2 linked regions of the Arabidopsis thaliana genome follow. The protein of the gene in region 1 interacts with the protein of each later gene in a pairwise test. Each region holds a gene or a part of one and is shown in the gene's direction. Other genes may lie near its edges.

Region 1 (15,694 bases):
TTGTTAAAAAAAGAGATTGAAAAAGACATCTTCACTATATATGTTGGGTTCGAATAAATTCGCTGGCCTTTTCTCTTAAGCCACATGGTATGAGAATTGTTTTGTAAAATTTGTTGTCATCTTGTTATTGCCAATGCATCATGATCGTAGAGATGTAGGCTAAAGAAACTTTTTTAAAGTGTGATTTTACACAGCAGCTGGTGGTTACTGCTTAGCCATAAAATTATGTGTTGATATTGACATAAGTGGAATGTCGAAAACATGTTTATTCATACACGTATATTGTTGAAAGAAGTGTTAAACACATCATACGTTTAAAGTAGACAAATCTAGAAATATATAACAAAAGAGAATTTGTTTGTACATTTAAAAAGCCTTAGCTCTTTTTGAGCAAAATATGTAATATTATAATTTCAACACTTTTGAGTGTGTTTACTAAAACTAACAACCTTTATGAAGCAATTGGGATGGGTTTGTGTGATCTAAAATTGAGGTAGGATCGTGGGACCAGGAGAACATGAGATGCATCGAAGGCAAAGTCCAAAGACACTACGTCACTTTGAGTGGATTGTGTACGTGAGGTTGTACGAACCATCATTTCACGTTACATATGTTGCAACGCTGCGTAATCTGTCCCCACCATCCAACTTATTTCTAATTCTTTTTCATAATTATATTTGTATCTAAACTAAGTAGAATACCTACATATTGAAAAGAAATATTACTTGCTAGGGCCTAGGGATAAACGTTAAAGAGAAATATTACTATAGAGAAAAACCCTTTAGTTTTGAACACAATTTCTATGTGTAAACATGCGTGATTGTTATGTAGGCAGATGTGCACTAAGCACTTAAACAGAAAAAGAGACAAGTTTTGAACATGAGTTATGAGTAAAACATATAATTATAAAGTTTTGAACATGAGTTATGAGTAAAAACATATCATTATAAAGTTTTGAGAGCATCTATGAGTAAAAACAGACTAAATTAAATAGAACATATATATGGACAATATAGCAAGTAAAATCTCTCGGACTGACGAAATAGATGTAACTATACTACCAATGCTTGCGATTCAAACCGTCAAAAGTGAAAAATACTGTGAAATAACAAGTCAACTTCTATAAATGAAAATTAATATATATTGTAGACGGTTTATATATACGTTTGGATCATATCGATTCACTAATAAAAAAGTAACAAGTGTTATTCCACAAGTTGCATTTTTCATTTGTCTATAAGAACTTTATTGATCTTAAATAACGTTTATGCTTTTTCTTACACATATATGGAACCGAATTCAACAAAAACTTTCAAATAGATTTGTTTTATATGAACACAATTATGTATATTGATTGTCCATTTATGAAGAAAAGAATAATCTTATGCTTCACACCGTTGACAAAAAAAGATAAACGTATGTCATTAACCCTCTCTTTTTCTGGTACATGTCAGAGCAAAGAAAATTTACTAAAAGGTTATTTTGTTTTTCCTTGTTTGTCTATAAATCTACTGAAAGCTTTAAATGCAATTTTATTATTTTCAAGAATCGGTCTTTTTACACTTCCGCGATACTAGCTAAAGGAATGTACACGTGTCAGGATATTATTGTAGCATCTGATTTTTACCATTGATGGTAACTAAAGTTAGTAACAGAACCATCAGGTCCATCACCGTAAAATATGACTAGCACAGTAGCACCTTTACCAGAAAATAACGCCGTTAGCTGTTTTCATCAAGTCAACAACAACCATTTTAACGGCAGTTTAGATATATTTTAATTTTTTTTAACCATATATCATTGGAAGTAAAAAGTTGTCATACTAAAATATATATCTTTTAAGATCTCAAGGTAATTAAAAAAATAATCAAAGACGCTTAAAATCTGAAATTTTCAATAAAGTAATCATAAATTATTTTATGATTTAAATTTAGGTTTATCATAATAATCTTGAAAGAAATTAAATAATATAATAGTTTTAAGGAAATCTATTTATTTGTTTTTTGATAAATTACATATCTATAGTAAATTAATGATATTGAATGGTGTAGTTGGTTTCTCATAGGTAGAATTAAGACTTTCTCTTTTGTATTAATAAAATTTTATTTGACAACAAACAGAAGAAACCTTTTAATAAATTGAGAGAGATATACTATAGGACATGATATGACAAAACTGTCCTACTCAGTGAACTTCACTAACAGAGCTCAAATTTGAAATCTCAATGAATTAATATTTAATGACATAACAAGTCAAAGTGATGATATTAAATCTTTCCTCCTTGACAAGACGATAATACTTCAATTAACAAAAAAAAAAAAAAAAAGAGATGATAATTTTTCCAGAATAAAATATTTTCGACTTGGACTGGGAATAAAAAAAATGGGGTGACCTAAACCGACGTCGCATAGTTACGAGAGGCATATAAATAGAGAGCCACCAAATAGCCTAACGTAGTCCACCTTCACTTGCTCTCTTTTTTCCGAAGAATCTGGTTCGTTTCTCTTTGAATTATCTCTTTCTCTGTTCTTCTTCTTTTTCTAAAGTCTCGAATATATCTTCATTATCATTACTTTATTTGCTTCGTTCTTCCGCAGTTTTGTGCAAAGTTTTAACGATTTTTTGGTTTTGAACGAAGGCACAGAGAGAAGATGGCGAGTGGCCTCGAGGATATCGTGAACGAGAATGTTGATTTGGTATGGATTTCTTCTTTTTACTCTGTATATATTTTTTTGTTTCGTTTGTTTAACTTGTTTAATGAATATACGAGAGGAAAGTTTAGTTTGGTTTTGTTTTTTACTTAACGATTCGATCAAATTAGGGTTGTACACAAATCTCGTTACATCATCGTTGAACTATTGACTTCATGTTTTAGCATGAGATTTTTATTGTTTGATTTCGATGAGAAAAGAATCCATGAAAAAGTGTTAATATTATCATAATTATTTCAGTTTTTCTGCTTTTTTTTCAAAATTACTTTTTCTTTATTTATTTTTTTATTAGATTTTGCAACTGCACTAATTTAAAACAATTTGCAGTCACCAGAAATTTAGTTACAATTATGTAAAAGTTGTTTCCAAATAAAGCAAAAGTAATTACATTAGTAGTACTCTCTACTTTCACATGATCTATCTTAATGAGTATACTTTGAGATTTCTTAGAGAAGTTTTAGTCAATTCTGTTTTCAATTACTACGTTTTTGGATTTTTCATACTCATGGAATATCGCCTTATCAATCGGTTAATCACTTCCCTAGATAAAACTAAACTTCAATCTTCACCTGATTTTCTGGACTCAATTTAAGATACCATGTTATATAGACAGATTTGCCCCTATCAATACATCTTCCGTTACAATGGGCCTTATTGGGCCTTTAGGCTTATTATATAAGCGAATTAAAGTACAAGGCCTTGTGGTCCCACCTTAGATTCTCTGACATCGACAGCTACAGAACATTCCATAATTTTGGTCATCTAATATTTTTATGCTTTGATAAATAATTATAATCTTGATTATCTATTAATTTGCATGCTTATATTTTTTTCTTTTTTTTTGCTTTTTTTAGTACTGTAAAAGGTTAACATTTGTATCTGTAAAAAAGATGTACTACAGATAAAAACATACTTGGTTGTTTATTGGTGTAGGAGATACATAATTATTGAACACCATTTGAATTAGTCTAACATCGTGTTCATATTATATTGCAGGAGAAAATACCTATTGAGGAAGTGTTCCAGCAGTTGAAATGCAGCAGAGAAGGTTTATCTGGAGCAGAAGGAGAAAACAGACTCCAGATCTTTGGCCCCAACAAACTCGAGGAGAAGAAGGTATAGTTTGGTTTTAACCATTATCAAAGTCATCATACATGAGCTAAGTCACTAACTATGTAATGGTGGTTTCAATAAATAGGAAAGCAAGTTACTCAAGTTCTTGGGTTTTATGTGGAACCCTCTCTCTTGGGTCATGGAAGCAGCTGCAATCATGGCTATTGCCTTGGCTAATGGCGGTGGAAAGCCACCGGATTGGCAAGATTTTGTCGGTATCGTTTGTCTTTTGGTTATCAATTCAACTATCAGTTTTGTCGAAGAAAACAATGCTGGAAATGCTGCTGCTGCTCTTATGGCTGGTCTTGCTCCCAAAACTAAGGTCCCTCTTTATAAACTCCCTTCAAATACTCCTCTTTGCATTAGCATTTACGTGTATGTTTACTGTATACTTGGCATACGAATTACGCGAGTTTAACTATGTTACATAATTAGATTCTTAGCACCTAGTAGTTGTCTAACTTGAAAATGTTTGGCATAAGTAATTGGTTTACATATAATTTCATTACAAGCTTTTAATAATATTTGTTTTGTTATGACCAGGTTCTAAGAGATGGCAAATGGTCAGAGCAAGAAGCTTCTATTCTTGTTCCTGGAGATATTGTGAGCATCAAGCTTGGTGACATCATTCCTGCTGATGCACGTCTTCTTGAAGGTGATCCTTTAAAAGTCGACCAATCTGCTTTGACCGGAGAATCTCTTCCCGCAACGAAAGGTCCAGGGGAAGAAGTTTTCTCCGGTTCTACCTGCAAGCAAGGTGAGATTGAAGCGGTTGTGATAGCCACTGGAGTCCATACTTTCTTCGGTAAAGCGGCTCATCTAGTCGACAGCACAAACCAAGTTGGACATTTCCAGAAAGTTCTTACGGCGATTGGAAACTTCTGCATATGTTCCATAGCTGTTGGTATTGCGATTGAGATCGTTGTCATGTATCCGATCCAGCGCAGACACTACAGAGACGGAATCGACAATCTTCTTGTTCTTTTGATTGGTGGTATCCCCATTGCAATGCCTACTGTCTTGTCTGTCACAATGGCTATTGGATCTCACAAGTTGTCTCAACAAGGAGCTATCACAAAACGAATGACCGCCATTGAAGAAATGGCTGGTATGGATGTTCTGTGCAGCGATAAAACCGGGACTCTCACGCTAAACAAGCTTAGTGTTGACAAGAATCTTATTGAGGTTTATTGTAAAGGCGTTGAGAAAGATGAAGTTTTGCTTTTTGCTGCTAGAGCTTCAAGAGTTGAGAACCAAGATGCTATTGATGCTGCTATGGTTGGAATGCTCGCTGATCCAAAAGAGGTAATATATATAACTCTGTTTTTTCCTCTGTTTTAAAATTCTGTTTTTTCCTCTGTTTTGTTTCTTGAAGAAAATGTTCTGTTCTGTTTCTCATTGTTTGTTTCTTTCAGGCAAGAGCTGGAATCAGAGAGATTCACTTCCTACCATTCAATCCAGTTGATAAGCGAACCGCTTTGACGTTTATCGACAGCAACGGAAACTGGCACCGAGTAAGCAAAGGAGCTCCCGAGCAGGTAACTAAAACTGATTTTGGTTCTTAAGCTAAGTTAAGTGTTGTGACTTCTTAAAAAAACTGATTCTTTGATGATTTCAGATTCTTGATCTCTGTAACGCGAGAGCTGATCTGAGGAAGAGAGTCCACTCTACAATCGATAAGTACGCTGAGCGTGGACTTAGGTCATTAGCTGTTTCAAGACAGGTGAGAAGAAATCTTACATTTTGTAACAAGTTATAGGAAGAAGGAAAAAGAGAGAGAGAGTTTAATGTAAATTTTGTGTGTCTATGTTTCAGACTGTACCAGAGAAAACAAAAGAAAGCTCTGGTAGTCCATGGGAATTTGTTGGTGTGTTGCCTCTGTTTGATCCTCCAAGACATGATAGTGCCGAAACCATTAGAAGAGCTCTAGACCTCGGTGTCAATGTCAAGATGATTACTGGTTTATATCTAAACATTACTCTTCGCTATAGCGAAAACACCGAATTTCTTACTAATGTTTCCAATGGTTTTATAGGTGATCAACTTGCTATTGCGAAAGAGACAGGACGTAGACTTGGAATGGGATCAAACATGTACCCATCCTCTTCTTTACTCGGTAAACACAAAGACGAAGCCATGGCTCACATTCCTGTTGAGGATTTGATTGAGAAAGCTGATGGCTTTGCTGGAGTCTTCCCAGGTTTGTTTAAGAGCCATTTTTGTTTCCACAAACACAAACTTGCTCTTCTCTCTGTAACATTTGGTCTCTTTTTTTTCTTTACCAAATTCATTCAGAGCACAAATACGAAATTGTGAAGAAGTTGCAAGAAAGGAAGCATATCTGTGGTATGACTGGAGATGGAGTGAATGACGCTCCAGCATTGAAGAAAGCGGATATAGGTATCGCTGTGGCGGATGCAACTGACGCTGCACGAGGTGCTTCTGATATTGTCCTCACCGAGCCAGGTCTCAGTGTGATCATCAGCGCGGTTCTAACCAGTAGAGCCATCTTCCAGAGAATGAAGAACTACACAGTGAGTGTTCTCTTAATCTTAAACCATAACCTTTTTAGAATCTTTACACCATGATAACTTGTTCTCATGGTGTTTTTAAATGTTCCTTTAAACAGATATATGCAGTCTCAATTACCATTCGTATAGTGGTAAGTAATCAATCTTGTATGTATTCTTGAATATCATCAAATAATCTCTTTTTCTATATGATTTCTCACTTTGTGCCTTTTCACAGTTTGGGTTTATGCTCATTGCTCTAATATGGAAGTTCGACTTTTCACCATTCATGGTTTTGATCATTGCTATATTAAACGATGGTGAGTTTTTTTCTTCTCTTTAAAAGCTCTCTCTAAATTTTGGCTCTAATCGACTAACACATCATTAACTTACGCAACAGGAACCATCATGACTATCTCAAAGGACAGAGTCAAGCCTTCTCCAACACCAGATAGCTGGAAACTCAAAGAAATCTTCGCAACCGGCGTTGTTCTTGGAGGCTACATGGCTATAATGACTGTTGTTTTCTTCTGGGCCGCATACAAAACCGATTTCTTCCCGGTATGTAACATATAAACAACCTCTCTTTAGATTCCTTGTCACACAAGCATTAACTTTGTTTGTTTCCTATAGAGAACATTCCACGTGAGAGACTTGAGAGGCAGTGAACATGAGATGATGTCTGCTTTATACTTACAAGTCAGTATTGTGAGCCAAGCTCTTATATTCGTCACTCGATCTAGAAGCTGGTCTTTTACAGAACGACCTGGATATTTCTTGCTAATTGCTTTCTGGGTAGCACAATTGGTAAGCATTGTATCTTCTTGATTGATTATAAACTCTCTTGAATGATTGATTCATAAACTTTGACCTTGTAGATTGCAACGGCTATTGCGGTTTACGGTAATTGGGAATTTGCAAGAATCAAAGGAATAGGATGGGGATGGGCTGGAGTAATCTGGCTTTACAGTATTGTCTTCTACTTTCCATTAGACATAATGAAATTCGCAATCCGTTACATACTAGCCGGAACAGCCTGGAAGAATATCATTGACAACAGGGTACGTTTTGCTTTCTTCTTAGTTCTTCTTCTGAAATGTGATTTTAAGACTTAAACAAAATCTCTCTGTGTCTTTGAAAAAACAGACTGCGTTTACCACTAAGCAAAACTATGGAATAGAGGAGAGGGAAGCACAATGGGCTCATGCACAAAGGACTTTACACGGTCTTCAGAACACTGAAACAGCCAACGTTGTCCCGGAGAGAGGTGGTTACAGAGAACTGTCTGAGATTGCAAATCAAGCCAAGAGACGAGCTGAGATCGCAAGGTAAATGATTTGTAAAAAGTAATTTCGGTTTCTTGTGAGAGAAGTTAACGTTAGGGTTTTTGTTTACAGGCTTAGGGAACTTCATACGCTTAAAGGACATGTAGAGTCAGTGGTGAAGCTAAAGGGACTAGACATTGAGACAGCTGGTCACTACACCGTTTAATAAAGATTTAACAAGAAGATGATTAAGGAAGAAGAAGATCCTTTTGTTTAAGAGATGATAATGATGATGATTTTATAACAAGAGAATAAGGTTTTTTTTCTGTGTATGTTAAGTTCCTCTAAACTCCTGGGGTTTTTCTTCCTTCCTTATTCATGGTTTTAGACTTTAATTATAACCATGTGTTTTTGTTTCCCCTCTCTTGAATAAAAAAGAGAAGATACTAATATCATAGGTTTAATACGTTTATGTTTTATAAAAGTTCAATAGATATTGTTTTTGGATATTATGTGAACATAACAATATTTATAAATTCACCTTTCAATTTTCTTATGAGATGATATCATCTTTACTACTTAAAATATCTTCTAATTAAACCAAAAGCAGATTTAGGTCCGGTTAGATGAATAACCGGTTCGATTAATTTCGTCAGACCGATTTGATCCGTGGATATCATTAATCCGTGGAATACATGTGTGTTCTTGAGTAGGCCACTAGTTATAATCCACGTGGCAAGCATTTTATCACAAACCCAGAGCTACAAAAACAAAACCAAGAAGACGAGAAGGATCTTTAACAGAGAAAAAAGAGCTTTAGACCAAATCACCAGAAACAAAACAAAAATGTATTTCGCCGCCATAGCTTCTTCACGACAAAGCTTTTTGTCAAACAATTTCAGTTTCCAACACAGTTTTAAACCCAAATCCAATGTTAACCTCACTCGTCCTAATTCAATCTGTTGTAAATCTTCACACCACGACGACGAAACTGATTCTTCTCGGTAATTTTTATTTACCTTTAGAAAATTTTTTTCCGATTCTAAACTCGGGTTTGGTCTTATTCAATCTTTTATTTATCTATTGATTAGGAAAAATGAAAATCAGCTGGCGAAGTTGGCAATCGCGACGCTAGCGGTTGGCGTTTTGGCTTTGGGAAGTGTTGGGGATGCGTTTGCGGCCAAAAGCGGTGGAAGAATCGGCGGTCAAGCGTTTCGGTCTTCAGCTCCTCGTCCTCCTCCCAGAATTAACAATCGATCAAGGTAAAATTTTTTACTTGAAGCTCTAATCTCGATTTTAATTATTTAATATGTATATGATTAAAATACTGGCGAAAAAAGTATATATTTAAATTAAGACCTTAATTGAGATTTCTTACAAGAGACTCCATGTATGGGCTTTTAGCAGCCTCATATCCACATTAAAGCCCATTAGTAAACTTTAAGCCTCTTATAATTTTCTATTACACTTTATATTTTGAACCCCATAATTACAATTCGAATCCAAGATACCCCAACGACCAACACTAATAACTTGATTCAATGCATTAGGCTTTTCTGTTTGCATTATATAATCACGACTTTAGTCTTAGTAGTTAGTACCTTTGCATTCTAAACGCAGCTTTGTTTTCGCAGGACCAACATCTACGTGAATCCTCAGGTTGCACCACCTTTGATCGGTGGCTATGGATATGGTTACGGAGGTTACGGATGGTCACCGTTTTCCTTTTTTGCCCCTGGTCCTGCGGTGGCAGTAGGTGTTGGCGGTGGCTTTGACCTCCTACTTCTCTTCATGTTTTTTGGAGCCGCTTCAGCCGTCGCTAGAAACTTTTTCCGATCAAGAAATGATGAAGATGACGAAGACGACTATTAGAGGAGAAAACGGAGAGAGGCTTATGTAACAATAGTCATACATACGATTTTGTGTAAAAAAATATGATGGAAGAAGACGGATATATGTGGAAATCTTGAAATAAGTAACTAAAGACCCATCTTAAAGTTAATAGAGGCAATTTGAAAACACCTCCAAATACTAAATTTATATACAAATTTTCTCTGTTTTTCCTTCATTCTTTATATTTTAGGTTCTAGTGTATGACCTCATTGGTCTCCGAAAGCAAGTGAAAATAAATTCTTTAAGCAACCAAATATAAAGAAAACATTGGTATATTTTGTCAATGGTTTATCAGTGTTAACGAAGAAGAATAATTAGACCTAGCTAAAAGTGAAATCAGTAAATCTCGTAAATAATAATAACGATAAATCAGATACAAAAAGAAAATAAAAAAATCAAGAAGAAGACGAAGAAGAAAAAAGAAAGAGTCAGTGAATTAACAAAAATCAAGAAGAGGTTCGGTTAATACTAAGTCCTTGAAAGAGCCAATGAGGTCTCTTCTTCTCTCGATCCAACGACGTCGTACTTGAGCTGCTCATAGGCGTGTTTGGTCCGCTACTTTCTTGGTTATTATTGCTGTTATTATATAGATTATTATTGCTCTGATTATTACAATTATCCGATGATGATCTCATTGACGTTGTTGACGAGTAGTCCATGTCCTTGTTCGTTGTCGTGGTCATAGTAGTAGATGAAGAAGACAATCCAATGCTCAATGTCAATTCGAGTTCGCTCTCTTCGATATGATCCGTCGTCGTTTGTGTTGCTCTAACCACATTTTCGAGGTCTATGCCTGAACAACTTCCGGTTCTCTCTCTTGAACCGGGTTGGTCTTTGTTGTTAACAGTCCAATATTGGCTTCTATGTTTGAGTTGAGTCATCATCATTTTCTGTGTATTATATACTCTATGTAGCTCTCGTACCTGCGATTATCACTTTGTTATGCTATGGATAATTATTAATTTAAAGCTAATTTGCTATGGATAACCTGAATCGGTCCAAGAATCTAAACTAAAGTAAAAGACAACCGATTGAAAAAAACTAACTAAATCATTCATTTCTTAATTCGTTAAACTGATATATCATCCTTTTCAAAAACCGACAAGCTGCTTAAAATGTAATTAGGCTCGAAGGAAAGCATAAATTTAAATATTTCCTGTTTGAAAGACCAAATCCATATGATGATGAATATATATATATATATATATATGCAAGTATAACGTACCTGTTGCTTAAAAATATCTTCTTGGGCTTGCATTGTATGTCTGATGGATTCAGCATTTTGCTTTTCAAGAAACCTATCCATTGACCTTAAAATAAAAACTCCTTCTTCTTCCTCGTCTGTCAACGTCTCCTTTGACGATTCTTGTCGACCATTAACAACAAATCTGATGAACCCACTATGATCAACACTCTTTAAGCCACTTTGGTTTGTAGTAATTCGCTCAACGATCTTTGTTCCCATGCCTGAAACGTAGTCATATAGTTTCATAACCATTTGATGAGTGATGAAACACATTAGAAAACCCTAACTCTACTTAAATTGTATATGTGAGTGAGTGTTGTGTGTATGTGTATGTATACATGTGAGTATGAAATTGATGGAGTAATCGTCAGAAGCCACTAGTTCGTGAAGTGAGGGGTTTATAGACAAAAGAAGGTTGACTAGTGGGACACACTTTTGAATTTGATTAGATTCTCTATCTCATGGTGTTTTGTCTTAAAGCCAAGTATTTTTTTTTTTTTTAAATCGAATCAAATGTCTTTATGTTCACTAAATCAATGGATAGAACTAGTTAGACCACAAATTGTTGGATTTATGATTTTATTTCTTTATTATTGTTATTAATCATAGAGATGGAAGATGATTAATTATTTTCAATTAGCTAATTAGTCAGATCAAATCGAAGTAGAGCCAAGCATGACAACACTAGACACGGCTTGTTTTAGTAAGATAACATTACAAAGCTTTTCTATTTGAATTTATCCACATTCATAACCAATTCAAAATATCTAAATTATCTCTTGTGTTATAGTAAAATATTGATGTAAAAATACTTAGATAGGATATCTTCTGCAGTAAGCATTCGGAAATAATACTTTATTTTCAAATCAGTGAAATAATTGATGCGGTATAGTACAATAATATCATTTTCTCTACTAAAGTTTAAAATAGAATGATTTGAGTTGTAAAATTGCAAGAAATATAAAATATGTGGTGAAGGTTGGAAAAAAAACAAGTTGTCGATTTTGTTTCCTTTTCTATGGATAAGCATGACTTATTTAGAATTTGAGAATGATTTTTTTTTTGTGGGTTAAAGTTAAAGATATGAGAATGATTAACATAATAAGATAGAGTCATAGAGACATGGAAAAAAGCAACAACAAACACTGGTCGAGCAGTCAATTTAAAGTCAACAAATAGGAATTTTAACTATTTAGTGTAAATTGATGATCATGCGAGGAAGACTGTATCACCTAAGTTTCTTTTCTATTAAAATTGGAATTAATTACATAATGTATATAAATTGGTCACATCGTTCATTATGTTTTCGCATTCATGCGGAGAGGACTATATCACCTAAATTTCCACTTATACTTGTTTCCTATCTTTTTTTCTAAAACATATAAATAAATAAATATAAATATATGTGACACATGTACTTACGTATCTATTATACACACGCTCACAAGTACACAAAGACATGAAAAGATCATGTCTATTTAGCTATAATTGTAGAGAACCAAATTAGATACCCAATAGGATAAGACAAGGACAATAAAATTGGTTAAAAGAAAACGTTCTTTTTTTTTTCCTAATGTATGTGTGTATATTTCTAGACAAAATATCTATTTCGCTATCAAAAAATTATTTTAGCTCTCTCTATACACTTGAGGTATTAAAATTTCAATCAACTGAAAAAAGCCAAATTTGTGACTTTTTTCCTTATACGCAGTCACACACATACATATATAGAAAATATATCTATCTAAATAGAAAGCACCAGCAATATCCGGAATCTGTTTATGGACATATATACACGAATACATATAAAGAAATTCTATATAAATTACCTGAAAAGAAGAGTGGTCAAGCTGTGATTTTCTCCAAAGAAGCTCATTGATCACATGTTCTATACTCATGCCACAAAACTCACTTAAGAGAAATTCTTCAAGACGCACACTTACCTTACTATATGCTTCTTTACCAATTTAGCTTCAAAGCATAATCCAATAGCTGAGAGATTACTATAGGCTTTGTTTTGTCAACAATCAAATATAGGACTAAAGCTGTGTGGAAGAAGAGATAGAGAGATATTCAGAGAGAAAGGAAAGAGAAGGAGAGAGGGATAATGGGGTATTCACAGCTAAGGAAATGCTTAAATTAAAAAGGATTAATAAACAAATAATATATAGTGATGGAAGTTAAATAGTTCTTAAAGGCTAATTTTGACAGGCTGTGATATTTGTGAAGGAAGGAGGCAAGGAAAAAGCTGAGAGGTTTTCATATGCTAAATTAGCTTTGTATGTCCATCTAATTGTTCTCTCTCTAACAGACAGACAAAACAATAGCTAATTTTATATAATTCTTGTGGATTTACTAGTATGTAATATTTTAATCTCTTACTTGAGAGTCCTTTATTCTCTGAGAAGGTGATGTTTTTAAAAAAAAATCATTAATATAAATGCCACTATATGAAATAGTAAAAGAAAAGATCTTAGTATCTTACCATGCTGTAGTATTAACTCAAAAGATTGATATATTAATATGTTCAAGAATTTACATATTAAGTGTTACTGATAAAATATAGAATCCTAAGTCTTATGGAAGTAGATTTTGTATATTATGTATAATTTTTGGTTTATACATATAAGTGGGGGTTTGAAATAATTGGGTGTGTTGATATAATATTAAATCGAGAAGATCAAGAGGATTTGGACAAATGATGAACAATAAAATAATACAGAAAATGTTATTTTTAGCCAATATATTCAAGACAAGTCCTCACTGGACATGATCAAGATATGCATGTAACCATATAAAAAAACAAATAAATATTATATTAACTACCAATTGAAGACAAAGCTTGTATCTTTTGTGTCTGTAAGAAAAAAATGGCGATTTGTTTTCTGTATTACTTTTAGAAATTCAAATGATTCCCTTTTCTATAAATTCTTTTATCAATTTGTATATTTTAACGTACATATTCTCCATCATCGACATCCGTACTGGTATTATCCAACCATTCCCAAAATATCCCATGATTATCATTTTTATCTGACACCAAGTTTAATGAGATAGATCCTCTTATAGCATATCACTTGTTAGCAGTTTTAACAATTATTAAATTTTCTTTTTCATGTCTTCAATTTTTCTGTAACATTAATTGGTTGATATTTTCGGAGATTCTAAAACCTAGATTCATAGTATATGTTAGTCTAGTGTTGAAATGAATTTACCTGACATGTGAATGAATTATTCGTTAAGACTTTTGACATTATTTTGAATTGGTAACACCAAATACGTTTAGGTTGGTAATAAAAAATTTCGTCCACAAAAATATGCACGTAATGTATAATTCAAGACCGATCGTTAACCGATGAAAACCCTTAGATTACCTAATAACAGTGATCTACAAGTCATGCATCACTTAAATAATAATTCCATGGCCAATGACAAAGAGGATCCATAACAAAACCCTAGAAATAGAATTTAAGTTTGTTCATAAGATTCCAAATTAAATAACCCTCTAAAAACAAATTATCAGCACATGATTTAAGTGGTTTTAAGTTTTATAATAGTACTAATTAACTAAAAGATATTTTTTTCTATACTTTAATGTTGCTTGTCTTCTACTTGTTTCGTTTTCTCCTCTCAAAGAAATCTCGTGCTAACATGGGGCTTCGATTACGCACCGACTTATCGTAATTATACTTGAATTATTGGACCTAAATGTGGTTATATTACTCTTTAATTTCACTAATCACTTAAAGATAATTGTATCAAATTAATTCTATCACCAGTTTAACTGCAGGTAATGAATTAGGCACCGACTTATCGTAATTTTTTAGATTTTAGACAGAGAAAAAAAAAAAAAAGGACAGAAAATCTTAGTCTTGATAAAAAGTCTTCTATCATAAAGTACCGAATATGTTGCAACGAAAGAACTTATAATTTTGTCTAAAGTTCATCAATACATAATCTATCGCTAAAACTGTAACGATAGAAATGTGTTTTCAGTGAATCTAATCAATAGATATGGGATAAGTGAAGTATATACTAATATTTTATTTTGGAGTTCATAGATCTCACCAATCTTTCAACTAATTGCCGGTGCATTAAGAAACACATCTCATCGATCGTGGTTTGCTATTACCGTCCTTAAATCCAGATCCCAAAAAGATTAGTGTATGTTAATATTAAACAATCAAACAATTAAGAAAACGATTTAGTATTGATCTGCGGTCAATATTTTTGTAATAGAAAAATGAAATGATTCCTTCCGCGGATGCATGCGTATCTTATTAAATTTGTAATTGTAAGAAAACGATTTAGTCTAATTATTGTAGAGAAAAAAGAGCTGGCTGGATTAGGCGGAGCCATGTGAAACGAGAAGCAAGAAGGAAACGAGAAAGAGTCATTTCGAATAATTAATTATATCCTAAACTCGAAACCAAACATTATATGATATCAAGTACAAGTACTTAGCAGTAATTACCGACACACGATAATTGCTTTGCTTAAATATAATGAAATCAGATTTATTTAGAGTTCCAAAGTTTGAATGTGCAGGTCAACATTTAAATTTCGAATAGTAGTACATCACATGAATTATTGTCTGTTGATTCTGTGTATACATGGTCATATATCGACCCATACTTACAAAGTTTTGTATGTAGATATTTTAATATGCGATTGAGATAAATGTTTTTATACCCTGTATATAATTATTATTATTCTTACCTCCTTTTTAGCTTTTTGGTTTGTTAAATAATACATTTATATAGCTTTACCTAATAATTTTTGATTGTATTACGTGAAATTTAATGAAAAGAGAAAGAATCAGAGAAAATCATATCAGTTTTGTCCGCCGCATATTAGACAATATTAAAAGAACAGACCAATAACAAAAGACATGGGTGATATATATATGAATAACAAATTTGTTTGGTCGTAATATGAATGACATTTTTTAATTGT
Region 2 (15,142 bases), on another chromosome or scaffold:
GGGAATTAGAAAGGTGAGGGCATCATCGGTATTTACTTAGACGAAAAACAAACTCTCTTTTTTCAATTTCTCTGTCTCTTCACAATTATTACTTCACCAGCTTTAATTGTTATGTATCTGTCTACGTATGAAAGATATTTACCCATACACACAGAAAACAAAACAAAAATTCTAAAAGATCGTTATGAATTATTGTATCGTAGGAATGAAAGAAAACGATTATAATTTTTTTCTAGAATGAATAATAAAAAAAGTGAAAACCGTTTGATCATAAAAATACATTTTTCCTTCCTTATGGTCATGAGTCATGACACATAGGTGATATAGGATATTTTTCGTGGTGATATCGTCCGGAAATGTGTTGAAGAAATACTCTATATAATTTTACTTATGCTTTGCTTTAAAAGATATTAAAATTTATGTCAATTACAATGTGTGAAACGAGTGTGAAGACAGGTGTACTTATGAACATGTTGAGTATTCTTTAGTTAATTATATGCTCGAATTTATAGGAGCATGGATGGATCTTTTTGTATAAATGCGTGATTTATTCATTTTTTTTAAAAAGTTTGAAGGGCTTTGTTTTAGTGAATATGACTTTTGTAATTGAAAAGGAACAATACCCAACTTTTGTATAGTCTTATTGTTCTACGTAACAGCCACATATTGTATATAAAAGATATATAAAGATTTTTTTAGGAATCTACAAATTTCATAGAAGCTATTATAGTTTTTATGGGGAATGGCCCTGAAGATACGGCTGATAAAATATTTATTTTTTTTAAAATAAAAAACCAAAGATCCGATCACTGAAGTTGCTTGGCTATTTCATAGTATAGTTTTGTTTATATAGCCCCCATGATTTCTCGGATTCAACACAACGTGCAAAGAGTATCGGAAAATTAAAAATAGGTTTTACAAACTAACTATTGTAACTATTAATATTTGGAAAACAATCTAAGGATTGAAGTCTTAAAAAATTTTTTTTGTTAAAAGGTTAAGTCTTATAATCTTTTATCACCTAAATAAACTCAGTTGTATCCCAAATTTTTGTTGGTAAAGAAAGTATTTAGTTAGACTGGTGGATTACTCATTTTTTAACTTTAGTCGATTATATTGGATAAACTTTTGGATTCCATCCAATCGATATATCCGATTTGTAATGTCGTTTGGCATTTCTATCGAATCAACGGTCCAATATTTTTATCCAACTAGGAGATTACACCAAGTCACCAAACTATAAACTAACTAACAAATGATAAAATCATATCTCTAGTTGGATTGTGAATGTCTTTTGACAAGAAACAAAGAATGTCTTGTTACTCTACATGCGTATGCAGTGTATATATAGATGTACACTCCATGAGGATTATACTTCTTCACTATAATAAAGCATAAAGTTTGAAGTTAAAAAAAAAAAAAAAGATGTACACAAGCAACTACATGAACATATGGTCACATTTACATACTGGTTTTTTTTTTTGGTAAAACTTTACGTAGTGGTTGCTACTTAGAATACTCTCTATAGGCCCTTTGATTTATAAACTCCTATGAGTACGTACGGTAACGAGCATGCAGTGAGAAACAGGGGATCTTAATTTACGCATCACGATCTTTTTCATTGTCGTAAAGTACTGTTGAAGAGGCAGAGGGCTAAAAGACGCAGAGCTTTTGTAACTAATGTCTACGTGGCCCCTAAAGCCACTCTTCTTTATTGCAGAGATTTCATTTTCATTTAGGGCATCATTAGTTTCAGTTTGTACTTTTGCCCTAATTTCATGAAAACGTTTATAATTAGCTTTTATTATTTTGGTTTCCCGGAAATTAATGGGGGAAAATTGGGTTTGGAACATGGTCCCCTCTACGATCCGAGCCTTATATTCAGTCTGTCATATGTTATTCGCTATTTACACCTTACGTTACACTGTTTATATGTTTAGAGCATTTATTGAATTTTTAATTAGTTCATCAACGTACAACATTAGTGTTTGAGCTTTCAATATTCGTCAATCGTCATGACTTGATTGTAAGAAATTTTCCAGATATTATGCCAATTTATATTTAATTTATAGACGAAGGTAGTTTGTATGTTATTTTCAACCTAAGATCTTGTAAATATAAATCGACTAGATTTTAACCCGCGATATAACGCGGGACGATTTATTTTTTAAAGGTAATATATATTAAAACTTGCTAATTTTATTTTTATAAAATATTTATATTTTACAGTTTATAATTGTTATTAAGTAACACTATACCACGAATACATTAGACAATTGTTAAAAAACTGAAGTTTTTAACTCTTATCAAAACAACATATTAATAAAATTTTATAAATATTCTAAATATTGATTAAAATACATCTACCATATAACCCAATTCCAAAATAAAACCCGTTCTGTAATTTCTTTACCCGTCCCTTGATTTTTTTTAAAGTAGTAATTTTTAAAATTTAAGAATTATTTATTATATATATAAGTTTTGAAAATTTTATCATTCTCTAATACATTTATATTTTATACTTTAATTTTATATATAGTAACATTATACATACCACATAACATTTTTAGTTTTATATACTCTTTTCTAAATTAGGATGATTTGATATGTTTAATATTAGTGGTCTTAAAAAAAAAAAGATTAAAGATTTAACCCGTATTGAAACGGTGGATTAATTATATTTTACTTTTTTATTAATGTTGATTCAAAAACCCGTCCCTCCAGATCCGTCTTGCCAAAAAGCCATTTATTTTATTAATATTAATTTTATTTATGATATGACTCTAAATTATAATCTAAACATTTTAGCTAATAACATAGGAGTGCACCATATTTATTTAATAAGGAATGTACCATATGACCCGAATGCACTTTAACCCAAATCCACCTAAAAGTCTTGCAAAAATACTATAAAGATAAGAAAAGATAGTCGGTTTTGATAGGTATAAGATTAGCAAATATATTAGTTAGCTTAAATTAGTTAAAGAATACAAATTGAAAAGGTATATTACACTTTATTCGAATATAGTATAAAAACTTCTATAACACAGAGATTTGATAATTTTTTAATTGTTGAATACTTTTTTTTGTGTTAATTTTTATGTGATTAAGATTTAATTGATTTCGTATATAAAAAATTAAATATGAACTTATTTGTTTATAATTTGGTAACAGATAGATATTTGAATATTCGGTATATTTTGCTTCAGTTTAGAAAATCTTTAATGACCCGTCTTTAGATCCAATAAGCCCTATAATTAAGAGATAAATATTGTCGTTAAATGATTTTGGTAACCTTAATGACGTTATTAAAAAATTTTCTTTTGATTAATTTTTTTTAATGGCATTGTCATGTAATTAATTACAAAAATTAAGGTTAGATTTAAAATGTACTTCCCAAATAATATAGTAGGATATAAATACTAATGATATCTGAGATTTATATAACTATTTTATTGAAATTCTTTAAGAAGAAGTAGAAACTATAAACTACTATGCACATGAATTAAAACTACAGTAGAAACTTTATAAATTAATAATGTTGGGACCATGAAATTTTATCAATTTATAGTGATATTAATTTATCCTATAAATTAATATTAATTTATTGTATAAGTTAATGAATATTAATTTATAGAAATATTTATGTAAAATACAATACTATATTCTTTTTAAAATGTTTCTTAATTTACTTTTCTATATGCTTTGTTGTTTGCATATATAATTCTGTTAGGTTTTTTTTATTTACTTCTTTAATTTATTTTTCGGCAAGATATTATGTCTGTATATCTACGACATTAACGTGAACGTAAACGTAAACATGAAGCTTAATCCAATTTCTCTTTACATAAATCTTAGCCATGCTTTCTCAAATAAAAGATTTTACAAAATCAACTACGATAGATCAAATGCGCAAATAGTTATGTGAGTACAACAGAGATCATACCAGTTATATTTTAAAAAGAGTTGTAATTGTAGCTTGAACAAAAATTTCATATAAAAATTAGTCTTAAGATATATACTTAAGATTTATGATTATTAATTTATAATATTATTGGGACTATAATTTTACATAGGGATTTCAAAAAAATTATTATCTTATTATCTTATCGATTTTGATTAATTTTTACATTGCCCCAATTTAGGACCGACAAAATTTATTAATTTATCGAGTATTAATTTATAGAGTTTATACTATATTATGTACATATATACATGTTACTAACGTAATTAACAAAACAGATTTTATATTAAAATAAACATATATACGTGCAAATTGACAAGACATTTCCATGTTCAAATGATCAAATCCCATGTTATAAATTCTTGTTCTGACTCTTATATAAAACATTCCTCTTGCTCTAACCTCAAAAGTTGTTACTAATCTGGTTGGGCTGTTTCTTAAAGTTAACAAAAATAATAATTAATTACATTAAATACCATAGGAAAGTGAAAATTGTTTATTGAGGATTTCAACTAAATTTCTACTTTTAGTCTTTGTATGTTTTCTTGTGTGAAGAATCTGTGTATGTTAAAATATTTTTAATATGATAAACTATATCTCATTATTTTTGCCAACTACCTATTGAACTAACAAACATACTGTTTTAGTTACAAAGCTCCTTTTGATTTTTGAAACCTAGCTAGGTGAATAAACCTAAAATCAAATCTGCCATATAATTTTCTGTTAAAATCAATACTTTGGTATTATTATAATAATAACTTTTGCTTGGATAATTATTCTAGAGTTTATTGAAATTAAAACAACAATTCTTTCACTATTTAATTTACTTTATTTTATTTCTATGCATGACTTAATTTCATTTTGTTACACCATGATTTAATTTAATACTAATATATAGTGAGAGAGAGGAGAGAGATCGAGAGAGTAAGAGTGGTGCAGAAGGAATTTCATTGTCGAAGAAAGAGCACGCCCTTCGATAACGTAAATGCAATGCAAACAATAAATGAAGTGAATTCATGAGAATTAGTATCATCATCATCAACACACACATCTTCATCATCATCACCTATCTTCATTCAAACACACACACCGTACGTGAAGATGGATGAAACAATCATGACATGCTTATGCATGCATATTTAAATATGAGTGTAAATATACATGCTTTAAAGCCGTTACATATGGTTTAAAAGATGGAATATTACATCATATAAACGGGAAATGTCTCTTGTTGTAAGCTTCTTATTTTGGATAGAAGATGTACCTTTCACCTACAACTGCACCAGTTACATTGGTGGTTGTGACATTTATTACTTCTCTCTATCTCTCTCTCACTGTCGATTTATTGATTATACGGTGTGAGAAAATTGCATAGAATATTCAACGCACATGACGTTCTCTACCTCTTGAAGACTCAAAATCTGTCCTATATATTAGTAATTTGCAACCGTAGAATTGTCTTTCGTATCAATTCTGCATATATTTTTAACCATTTAATAGTGATGTCGTTTTTCCATTCCATTGATACTCCAACCATTTAATAGTGTGATGATGTGAACTACCAATTTAAACCACATACTCTTATAATTTTGCTATAAGAAATATATATCCACTACCACTAGTGATTTTGCAACCAATATGTACACAAAACTAATGATTTATACCAATTAAACGAAGATTTAATACAATTGTTTTTTGGATAAAGTAATTAAAAATTTGGGAAAATGAATAACTCGAAACTTGAAACACAGAATTTTGATTTTACATATTTTAGAAAAGGGTGATTAATATGATTATTATATTACGTCGTGCTCGTGCATGTACATTTTTTCTAAGAATGAATAGGATAAGAAGAGTGAAAGAAAAAGCAAAGTGTTAGTTTCCTAGAAAGTTAGAGAAGAGTTATCATTGCTTCGACTGAGATAAAGATGAAAAAACGAGGAGAGAGATTTGTTTTCACTTCATTAATGATTAATCTCTTTTTATAAGCATTAATACTTAATTTGATTTGGAGGATTCTACTAAATCAATTAAGAGAAAAATGTACATGTTTTCTTTTATTAAAAACTAGTTTGTCCCTTGGCCGTGGGGAAAGAATGTTTGTTTAAAGACTGTGTCAATTCGTTATTTTTAAAAGATCAATACTATTCGAAAACATATTTGTAAGAAATAGGGTTTTAGGTGAGTGTTTTTCCGAAGGACCAAAACGTTCAGAAAATGTTACAAAGTTCTTCTATAAAAAATAAATATATAACACAACTTTAACAAAAAATCAGGGGTCGTTATTTGGAATGATAAATGGTCAAGATCAATTCAACAGAAGACAGATCAATACATGTTGATGGGCTAATATGAAAAGGTGTTTTGTATGCACATACACACACACACACATCTCTTTTATCCAAATCAACAACAACACATCAAAGCTGCTTTTTTTTGCTTTCCTTTTCTTACGGGTAATCATTTTTTCATCGCTCTCTTCTCTCACTCCCCTATCAACCCAACATATAATAATTAATCTTGGCTTCTTGAACTTTTTCATTCTTTGTTTTTGTATCTATAAAACTTGAGACAAGTTTCAAAATCAGACAAGGAAAATCATGTACTATGTAGTAGGGGTTCCCTAATAAGTTCAAAAGCATGCTGACTGTGTCTTAAATCTTAATCGCAGTGTCATAAGATGAGTTTAAGAGTCATAATTATTTTGAGAGTTCTCTATATCTATACTATATATCCAAGCAAGAAAATTAAAACTTGAAAATCCACGAAATTCATGATCACATTGCATAACAAAACATGATTTGACAATTCTAATTTTTAGATAATGTTTTTAACAAAATGATTGATCACTAAACCTTGCATAAAATGATTAATCATCTATATTGTATACCAAAGTTAGAAAAATATAATAGTGGCGGTAATGTAATTTCGGAAACTTAACTCAACCGATAACATTGTTTAGAAGATGCATGGTTTTTGAAATACAAAAAAAAAGAAAGTAAAAGTAATAGAGTATGTACCAAGAAGAAGAAAAAAGGTAGGATACATTGTTAGAAAGTAGAAAGAATGGTGGAAAAGAGAATGATGATGTTAAAAAACGAATAGGGATTTGAGATGAGAAGATCATTCCATATCTCATATACAACACATCGTCGCTTTTCATTGATATAAAAGTGTCATACTCAATAGAGCCCAAACCCTTTTTCTTCTCTCTTTCTATTGATTTTAAGAAAGAGATTCTTATTAGATCCCTAAACCCACGTGTTCTTTCATTATTTCGTTTTCTTTGGTTCTTATTTTTTTCCCTTAATTTGTCTTACATCCGGTAAAATTGTAAATTATTTAAATAAGAATTCTTGAGCTGTTTTTATAAGTTACACCTTCAAAATCAGATTAGCAAAGGCCTCATTCATATAAGTCACTCATGTTCGAAAGGTTTGATTATACGATAAGTTGTGATCAGTCAAAAAAATTGAAAAAGATAATTGTACACTTACACTATAGTCACAAAAACATATAAATGAAGAATTGGTTACTTGGTCAAATCAATTATCGATTACTATATATATATGCTCTCGTAGATCGAAATTCTTTAGTCACATCAGTTGGAAAATTTGACAAAAAAGTAAAGCGAAACAAACCACAGAACAATTCACACTAAACACACAAATGACAAATCGAACTGTGTAAGATATACATAATTACAAATACGGTCAAAAATTCAAAAACGGATATAAAAATACCCCGGACATAAATAATTGTTTGAAAAAAAATTCAAGACTTATGTATATATGTTGCACAAATTAATTATTTATATGGAAAATTGGTTAATTAAATAAAGAACTTATAAATTTCAGTTTCAGAAGTTGAAGAATTTAACCGTAGTTTCTTCTACTAGGACGTGGCATTCCTCTTCTCTGGCTTGATGGCCAGTCTCCAGAGTCATTGTGTTCACTGCTTCTCTCAGGATTATAGTAACCTCTTGAGTCATAACCATTGCCTCCTCCTCTACGTCCATGTCCTCTTTGGTTAGTACCGTTATGGTTGTTTAATCTTGAGAACCTTGAAGTAGAACCAGACCGGTTCAGGTCCAATGGCAATGGCTCAATCCCTTGCAAATCAGGCTCTGGGGTGAACCAAACCGGGCGTTTCGACTCATCCATTTTCCTAAATGTAATTGATATCCTGTTGAATAGAACCGGGAAGAAACATACTCATAAGAGAAAAAATGTTTGTTTATAGAAGAAAATTGATGCAACAATATTTATAACCTTTTTGTAGGAACTGCAGGTACACAGTGCTTAGCTACATCAGCTCCATTTCCATTTAACACCAGAACTGATCTGATAAATATGAAAATATCCAAAAAAAACAGTCTTTGATTTCATACTATTCGACAAGGAATGGCCGAAAGTTTTGAAACTGGGAATTCTTACGAACTTGCTTACCCCACAGGAAGCGGTATTGAGTATGAACCCGAGAAGTCACCAGGACCCTCAACTTTCAGGTTTGAGCCAAAGAGGATATCGCATTCACTGAGGAAAGAGATGGTACAGAAGGGACGGAGAAAGTCGTGGTTGTCGATGTGAGGAGGTATGCAGTCACCTTCATCATAGATGTTCACAATGCAGCTATCGGGCACACAAGTTGGAGGCAGTACATGCCATTTAATCAACTTTCTAATGATTACTTTGAAAAGATGAGGTAGTGGATCCACTTCTTCACGTTGAAGGATACCCGGTGGGTTTCCAGCTCTGTCCTATCAACCCAAAATACAAGAAGGCAAAACTCTTAACTCCTTTTTTAAGAATGAAACAGATTAATGAAAGTATGACAGAGAACGTTACTTACTGGAGCGTAGTTGTAGCAACAGCCAAATTGTATAGTCTCACGTCCTTTTCCTCTCATCCACTTATGTGGAGCAGTAAATGTACGCTCTACAGAGAGAGAACAAGACAAGATTCAGATTAAAAATAGGTCACAAGTTAAGATAAGAGCATTTTCAGATCAAAACAAGAAGTTACTTTTAAGTTCTCCTCTTCGTCCCTTCTCTTGAAGTTGATACACTTGATCAACAATCCGTTTCTGCTCCACTGCGCTAAAAACACCAGTGTGCAACTCAAGTCCATCAAGCACGTTAACAATCTTTCCCTTAACTCTCTCCAAGCAAATAAAGTCTTTCTTTCTCTTCACATTAATCAGCCTGAGATTCTCTCTCTGATCTCTAGACAACTTAGGCTTCTCTGGAGTCTTCATCGAACTCGCATCAAAACCTTTCCTACTCGAATCCCTCTCCTCTTCCTCCTCCTCCTCCTCCTCATCGAACTCATCCTCTTGTGCCATATCAGCCCAACGCATACGAGGGCTTGCTGTTTCAACAACAGCTGGTCTAGATTGCAATACACTACTAAAATCTTCAGGAAAGGAACCAAATACAATTTCACTTCCCTTCCAACTACCTAACGAATGATTATCACAGTCTTCGCCATTTTCCGACTTCTCATCATAATTATCATCCACATTGTTACTAGCTCTTTCTGATCCCATATTTTCCACCACTGAACAAGAACCAGTTTTACACTCTCCATCAACTTTGTCAGTGTTGTTACTACAATGTGCTACACATATGGAAACATGATTTCTCATAAGCAACTCCACATCATAACTTAATTCACAAATTTAGAAACGTACTTGCTACTCTCTCGCCTCCTATTTGTTCCAATTACCAAACCCTAATTTTGTAACCTTATCATTTAGCAGAACATCAATCAAAAAAGCAGAATCAAGTACAATAATGAAGAAAATCTCCGCTTTCTATACAGAATTTCAATATCCATAGAAACCAGAAAGTCTCTCGCCTCTAAGAAAAAGTTGAGAATCGTTACCTGGGTCAAGAGAACGGATTCGATTGGAGAGAAGGTGATTACAATCCTTGCATAGATCTTTAGATAAAAAAGGAAGCCAATTCGTCAGAAACTCCGAAGCGATCTTAAGCTCCGACGGCTGGTACTGCCGGAGAAATGGATCGTTTTCCATGAGATACGCTCGATACAATCCAAATCTAGTACTCTTGTTACAGAAAATTCAAATTTCCTAGTCCACGATTTGAAATCTAGTACTCTTTTGTCAGTGTGGATTCTGTGACGGTACACTTGTAAATTCTAGTATTAACCAAACAAGGGTAATATCGGTATTTAAGCAGCCAATTAAAGCTCTTGGGCCGTTTAAAATTCTTAAAAGCCCATTAATTTCGAAACGCCACCTGTCGAGACATAATTGGGTCAGAGGATTTTAACGGTGGAAGATGAAGAAGCTTATCTTTTTGCAAAATCGTTTCTTCCTTCATTCATCATAGCTTCAAAATCTTAAAAACAACAACAAAAATGAAAAGTCTCCACTTTTTAGCTCCCAATTCAACGATTATCAATCTGAAGCAACAATCTTATACAAAAACCAAGTTCCAGTTGCATCGTAGCAACAGAAGAACTCTATCGATAAACTGCGTAAACAGTGGCGGTGATGAAGAGAAGATTACTCAGCCGTTGGATGGAGTGGAGATAAGATTCAAAAGAGGATCCAGAAGGAAAATGAGGGAAGAGGGTTCAGGAGAAGGAGGAGGACAAAGCGGGAAGAAAAAAGAGACTGTTCAAAAGCCATGGGAAGAGATGACATTGAATGAGAAGGCATTGGAGCTTTATGTTGGAGAGAAAGGTTTGTTGTTTTGGCTAAACAAATTGGCTTACGCGTCGATATACATTGTCATTGGAGGTTGGATTTTTTTCCGGTTTGTTGGACCGGCGTTTAATCTTTATCAACTCGATACACCGCCTCTTGATCCTAAGAACATCTTAAAGGGTTAAGAAATGCTTTGTAGCTGTGTCTGCATTCTCTGTTCCAAAACATTTTGAGGCTTATATATTCAAGTTAGTTTCGAGTAATGTGTAGCCATGTCTCACTAGATTAAGATACACAAGAGAACAACACTCTTCATGAATTTTCAAGATTGTTCTGTTGGAGTTATGTCCTGATCAAGGATATCTCGTGTAGTCTTGCACCTGACATGGAAAAGAAAATATTTTTTTCTTCGGCTTTTTGTTTACCTTAACTCAATGCAAAGAATCAGAATTATTAACTGAAAAAACTAGATTAAAACTCACCTATTGCACTCTGCTCGTGATGCATAATTGTGATTCTTGCAATTTGTACACATCCAGTCGCCATCACGCCATTGTTTCACTCTAAGAAATCAGACAACACAAAGAATTGGGAAGGTTGCAAAAGATCACGCCATTGTTCTAGCGTTTAGAAAACAAGAAAACAATGGAGACCAGAGATCAATACAGTACCCCATTCCAAGTAAAGCAGGTGTTGAGTGTTGTTGTAGAAACGGGAGAGGAAGTTGCCAATTTGAGACCCTTCCTAGGCTCATACCAGGAAAAGATGCATATATCGCTGACTGTGTTTGCATGCTTGTCTGCACAACGAGCCAGAAGAAACAGAGGTTGGTTAAGCAGCAAGTAAAATTGATGAATGTACTAATCAATTTATGCGCTCTAACTAATCCTTACATATCCTTGATTCAGTCTTTTGCTATCCCATTCATGAGCCAAAGCTTCTGATGCTAATCTCTTTGTACCAAGGGCTGCAACCCAAAATAAACTTTCCCATATTAAAACTCGTGAAAGGATTATCAGACACCTTCGGGTTATATAAGATTGCACGCGCATCGGTCTTAGACAAAAACCTTACCTAGTGGAGCTATTTCATTGCACTTTTTGCACTGCAGAGACATACAAAACAGAAATGAGTAAAACAACAAGCCGGAATCTGCAAGTCGGTTTTGCATTGTGAACCCATTTCCTCACCTGTATACGAGAGGAATAATTGTGAAAACCACATCTGCAAATCCAGTCACCACTCCTCCATTCTTTATGAACCGAAGCTTGATTTGTAGCGTTAGAGAATGCGAGTAAAGAACCAGGTTGATCATGTGACTCAGGTCCACGGGTGAAGTAATGGAGATGAGTTTGAAGAGAAGCTCCAGGGATAGCAAGTGCTGACAATGCTGCTACTTCCTTAGATTGCCCACATTTCTTGCACTTTTCTCGTGATGCATAATTGTTGTTAGTACAACCTATTGCCACACCACACCACACCACACACCCAAACGCAAAACGTAGAACGAAGAAGATACACACGCACGCACACCACAACACACCCACCAGCAAATTCCATATACCACATAACACAGAATACACAAAACAGCTCAACCTAGTTATAAGTAAATCCCCTAATTCACAATTCCAATCTAATGAAACATCAAATGTAAAAGGGCATTTGAAAGTTGAAGGATTTGAACTCAGAACTTACGAATTAGATCAATCCTAGTTTTCATTCACAATTCAATCTAATGAATCCGCAAATGGAAAAGGGCATTTGAAAGTTTTAAGGATTTGAACTCAGAACTTACGATTCTGATCAATCCTAGTTTTGCTTCTAGTTCATTAGCACAATCTGGGAAGCTATAAAAGAATTGAATTGAGATAGGAGAAGAAAGAACGAACCAGTGCAGATCCAATCGCCGATACGAGGAAGCCACTTAGAGTTTGGAGAAGTATTATTATCCATGATAAGACGAGGCTGCTTGCATCTGTTACAGAATGATCTAAACGCATAATTCCTGTTTCTGCATCCTAAACATTCCCAGTCTCCTTCTCTTCCGTCTCCCATTTCTTCTTCCCGGAAAAACTCCAGTCTCCGGCGACGACGACTCACTCTTTTTCGTTCAGAGAGGAGAAAGAAAGAGAAAGTTGAAGAAAGCTAAAGCTGGGCCACATTTGTTGTGAAGTGACTAGGCCCATTAGGCCCATTAATTTCTTCAGAGAAAATCTCTTTCGTCCTTCTCTTCGCAGGTGGCAATCGTTACTTACTGACATACATCTTCATCAGTGATTTTTGGGTTTGAAATTTCTCTAGATCGATTTTGGATTTAGATCTCTTTGTTTCTACTGCTTTTCATCGTTGGATCTGCGTTTTGCAAAGGGAGATACAGAAAGGAATAGCTTTGAATTGACAAGGTTTCTCTCTAATCCAACCGAATCTCAAGCTTCCATGGCTCTCAATCTCCGTCAGAAACAGACTGGTAATTATCTCTTTATAATCTCAAGTTTCTGCGATGATTCTTCTATTGCTTCATAGATTGTGTTCGATCTATTAATTTGTTTTTAGGAATCTGGAAATTTAGAGAATTCTGGTTTCTTATGAGTTAATATTGATATTGGATCTTTGATCTCTCTCTCTCTCGGTTTCAGAATGTGTAATCCGGATGTTGAATCTGAACCAACCTTTGAATCCAAGTGGAACTGCGAACGAAGAAGTTTACAAGATCTTGATTTACGATAGGTTTTGTCAGAACATTCTATCTCCATTGACCCATGTCAAGGATCTGCGTAAGCATGGAGTTACACTCTTCTTTCTCATAGACAAAGATCGACAACCTGTTCATGATGTTCCCGCTGTCTACTTTGTTCAACCAACTGAATCCAACCTCCAGAGGATCATAGCCGATGCTTCTAGATCTCTCTACGATACCTTTCATCTGAATTTCTCGTCTTCGATCCCTCGTAAGTTTCTTGAAGAGCTAGCTTCTGGGACTCTTAAATCTGGTTCTGTTGAGAAAGTCTCGAAAGTGCATGATCAGTATCTGGAGTTTGTGACTTTGGAAGATAACTTGTTCTCGCTGGCTCAGCAATCTACCTATGTTCAAATGAATGACCCATCAGCAGGGGAGAAAGAGATTAATGAGATTATCGAAAGGGTCGCTAGTGGTTTGTTTTGTGTGTTGGTAACGCTTGGTGTGGTTCCTGTTATCCGATGCCCTAGTGGTGGACCTGCAGAGATGGTGGCGTCTTTGTTGGATCAGAAACTGAGGGATCATCTTTTGTCCAAGAACAATCTGTTTACTGAAGGTGGCGGTTTCATGAGCTCGTTTCAGCGTCCCCTCTTGTGCATATTTGATAGGAACTTTGAGCTCTCGGTTGGGATTCAGCATGATTTCAGATACCGGCCTCTCGTTCACGATGTTCTCGGGTTAAAGCTCAACCAATTGAAAGTGCAGGGAGAGAAAGGACCACCGAAATCGTTTGAGCTGGACAGTTCGGACCCATTCTGGTCAGCAAACAGTACTCTGGAGTTTCCAGATGTCGCTGTGGAGATCGAAACACAGTTGAACAAGTACAAGAGAGACGTTGAAGAGGTTAACAAGAAAACCGGAGGTGGGAGCGGCGCTGAGTTTGATGGGACAGATCTGATTGGAAACATCCACACCGAGCATCTCATGAACACTGTGAAATCGCTCCCGGAGTTAACTGAGCGAAAGAAAGTGATTGACAAACACACCAATATCGCAACAGCGCTCTTAGGACAGATCAAGGAGAGATCTATTGACGCTTTCACTAAGAAAGAAAGCGACATGATGATGAGGGGCGGAATCGACAGAACTGAACTTATGGCTGCTCTGAAAGGCAAAGGGACAAAGATGGACAAGCTCCGGTTTGCAATCATGTACCTGATCTCCACAGAAACCATAAACCAATCGGAAGTTGAAGCAGTGGAGGCAGCATTGAATGAAGCTGAGGCTGATACAAGTGCGTTTCAGTATGTAAAGAAAATCAAATCGTTAAACGCATCTTTTGCAGCTACATCAGCGAATTCAGCTAGCAGAAGCAACATTGTAGACTGGGCCGAGAAGCTTTACGGACAGTCTATAAGCGCAGTGACTGCAGGAGTCAAGAATCTGTTATCTAGTGATCAACAATTGGCAGTGACTCGAACAGTCGAAGCTTTAACAGAAGGAAAACCAAACCCGGAGATCGATTCTTACCGCTTCCTGGACCCAAGAGCTCCAAAGTCGTCTAGCTCCGGTGGTAGCCATGTAAAAGGACCGTTCAGAGAAGCTATAGTGTTCATGATCGGTGGAGGTAACTATGTTGAGTATGGAAGTTTGCAGGAGTTGACTCAGAGACAGTTAACCGTTAAAAACGTTATTTATGGAGCCACTGAGATTCTTAACGGAGGTGAGTTGGTGGAGCAGCTTGGACTTTTGGGAAAGAAGATGGGATTAGGAGGTCCGGTCGCTTCAACGTCATTGTCTGGTGGTCACTGAGTGTTACTCACTGT

Evidence for each region.
Region 2: the proteins of AT5G57345 (region 1) and AT2G17972 interact in a protein complementation assay, tested with the Arabidopsis thaliana proteins (one large-scale study listed by BioGRID).

What each region holds. Positions count from the first base shown.
Region 1 is NC_003076.8:23,223,339-23,239,032, reverse strand, and holds AT5G57345 (uncharacterized protein), read left to right. Parts: upstream 1-8,283; 5' UTR 8,284-8,445; coding exon 8,446-8,603; intron 8,604-8,690; coding exon 8,691-8,861; intron 8,862-9,233; coding exon 9,234-9,471; 3' UTR 9,472-9,742; downstream 9,743-15,694. Other genes in the region: HA3 (H[+]-ATPase 3), read left to right, coding at 2,652-2,696, 3,708-3,827, 3,910-4,146, 4,368-5,129, 5,240-5,362, 5,443-5,547, 5,640-5,784, 5,860-6,024 and 8 more; AT5G57340 (ras guanine nucleotide exchange factor Q-like protein), read right to left, coding at 9,939-10,415, 10,718-11,011.
Region 2 is NC_003071.7:7,811,277-7,826,418, forward strand, and holds AT2G17972 (uncharacterized protein), read left to right. Parts: upstream 1-10,308; 5' UTR 10,309-10,347; coding exon 10,348-10,824; 3' UTR 10,825-10,961; coding exon of another isoform or gene 10,962-11,019; 3' UTR 11,020-11,054; downstream 11,055-15,142. Other genes in the region: AT2G17960 (uncharacterized protein), read right to left, coding at 1,104-1,178, 1,563-1,853; AT2G17970 (2-oxoglutarate (2OG) and Fe(II)-dependent oxygenase superfamily protein), read right to left, coding at 7,840-8,149, 8,236-8,307, 8,413-8,723, 8,816-8,901, 8,989-9,582, 9,850-10,000; AT2G17975 (zinc finger (Ran-binding) family protein), read right to left, coding at 10,962-11,019, 11,122-11,202, 11,311-11,438, 11,533-11,606, 11,714-11,744, 11,830-12,098, 12,529-12,694; ATSLY1 (Sec1/munc18-like (SM) proteins superfamily), read left to right, coding at 13,076-13,106, 13,276-15,128.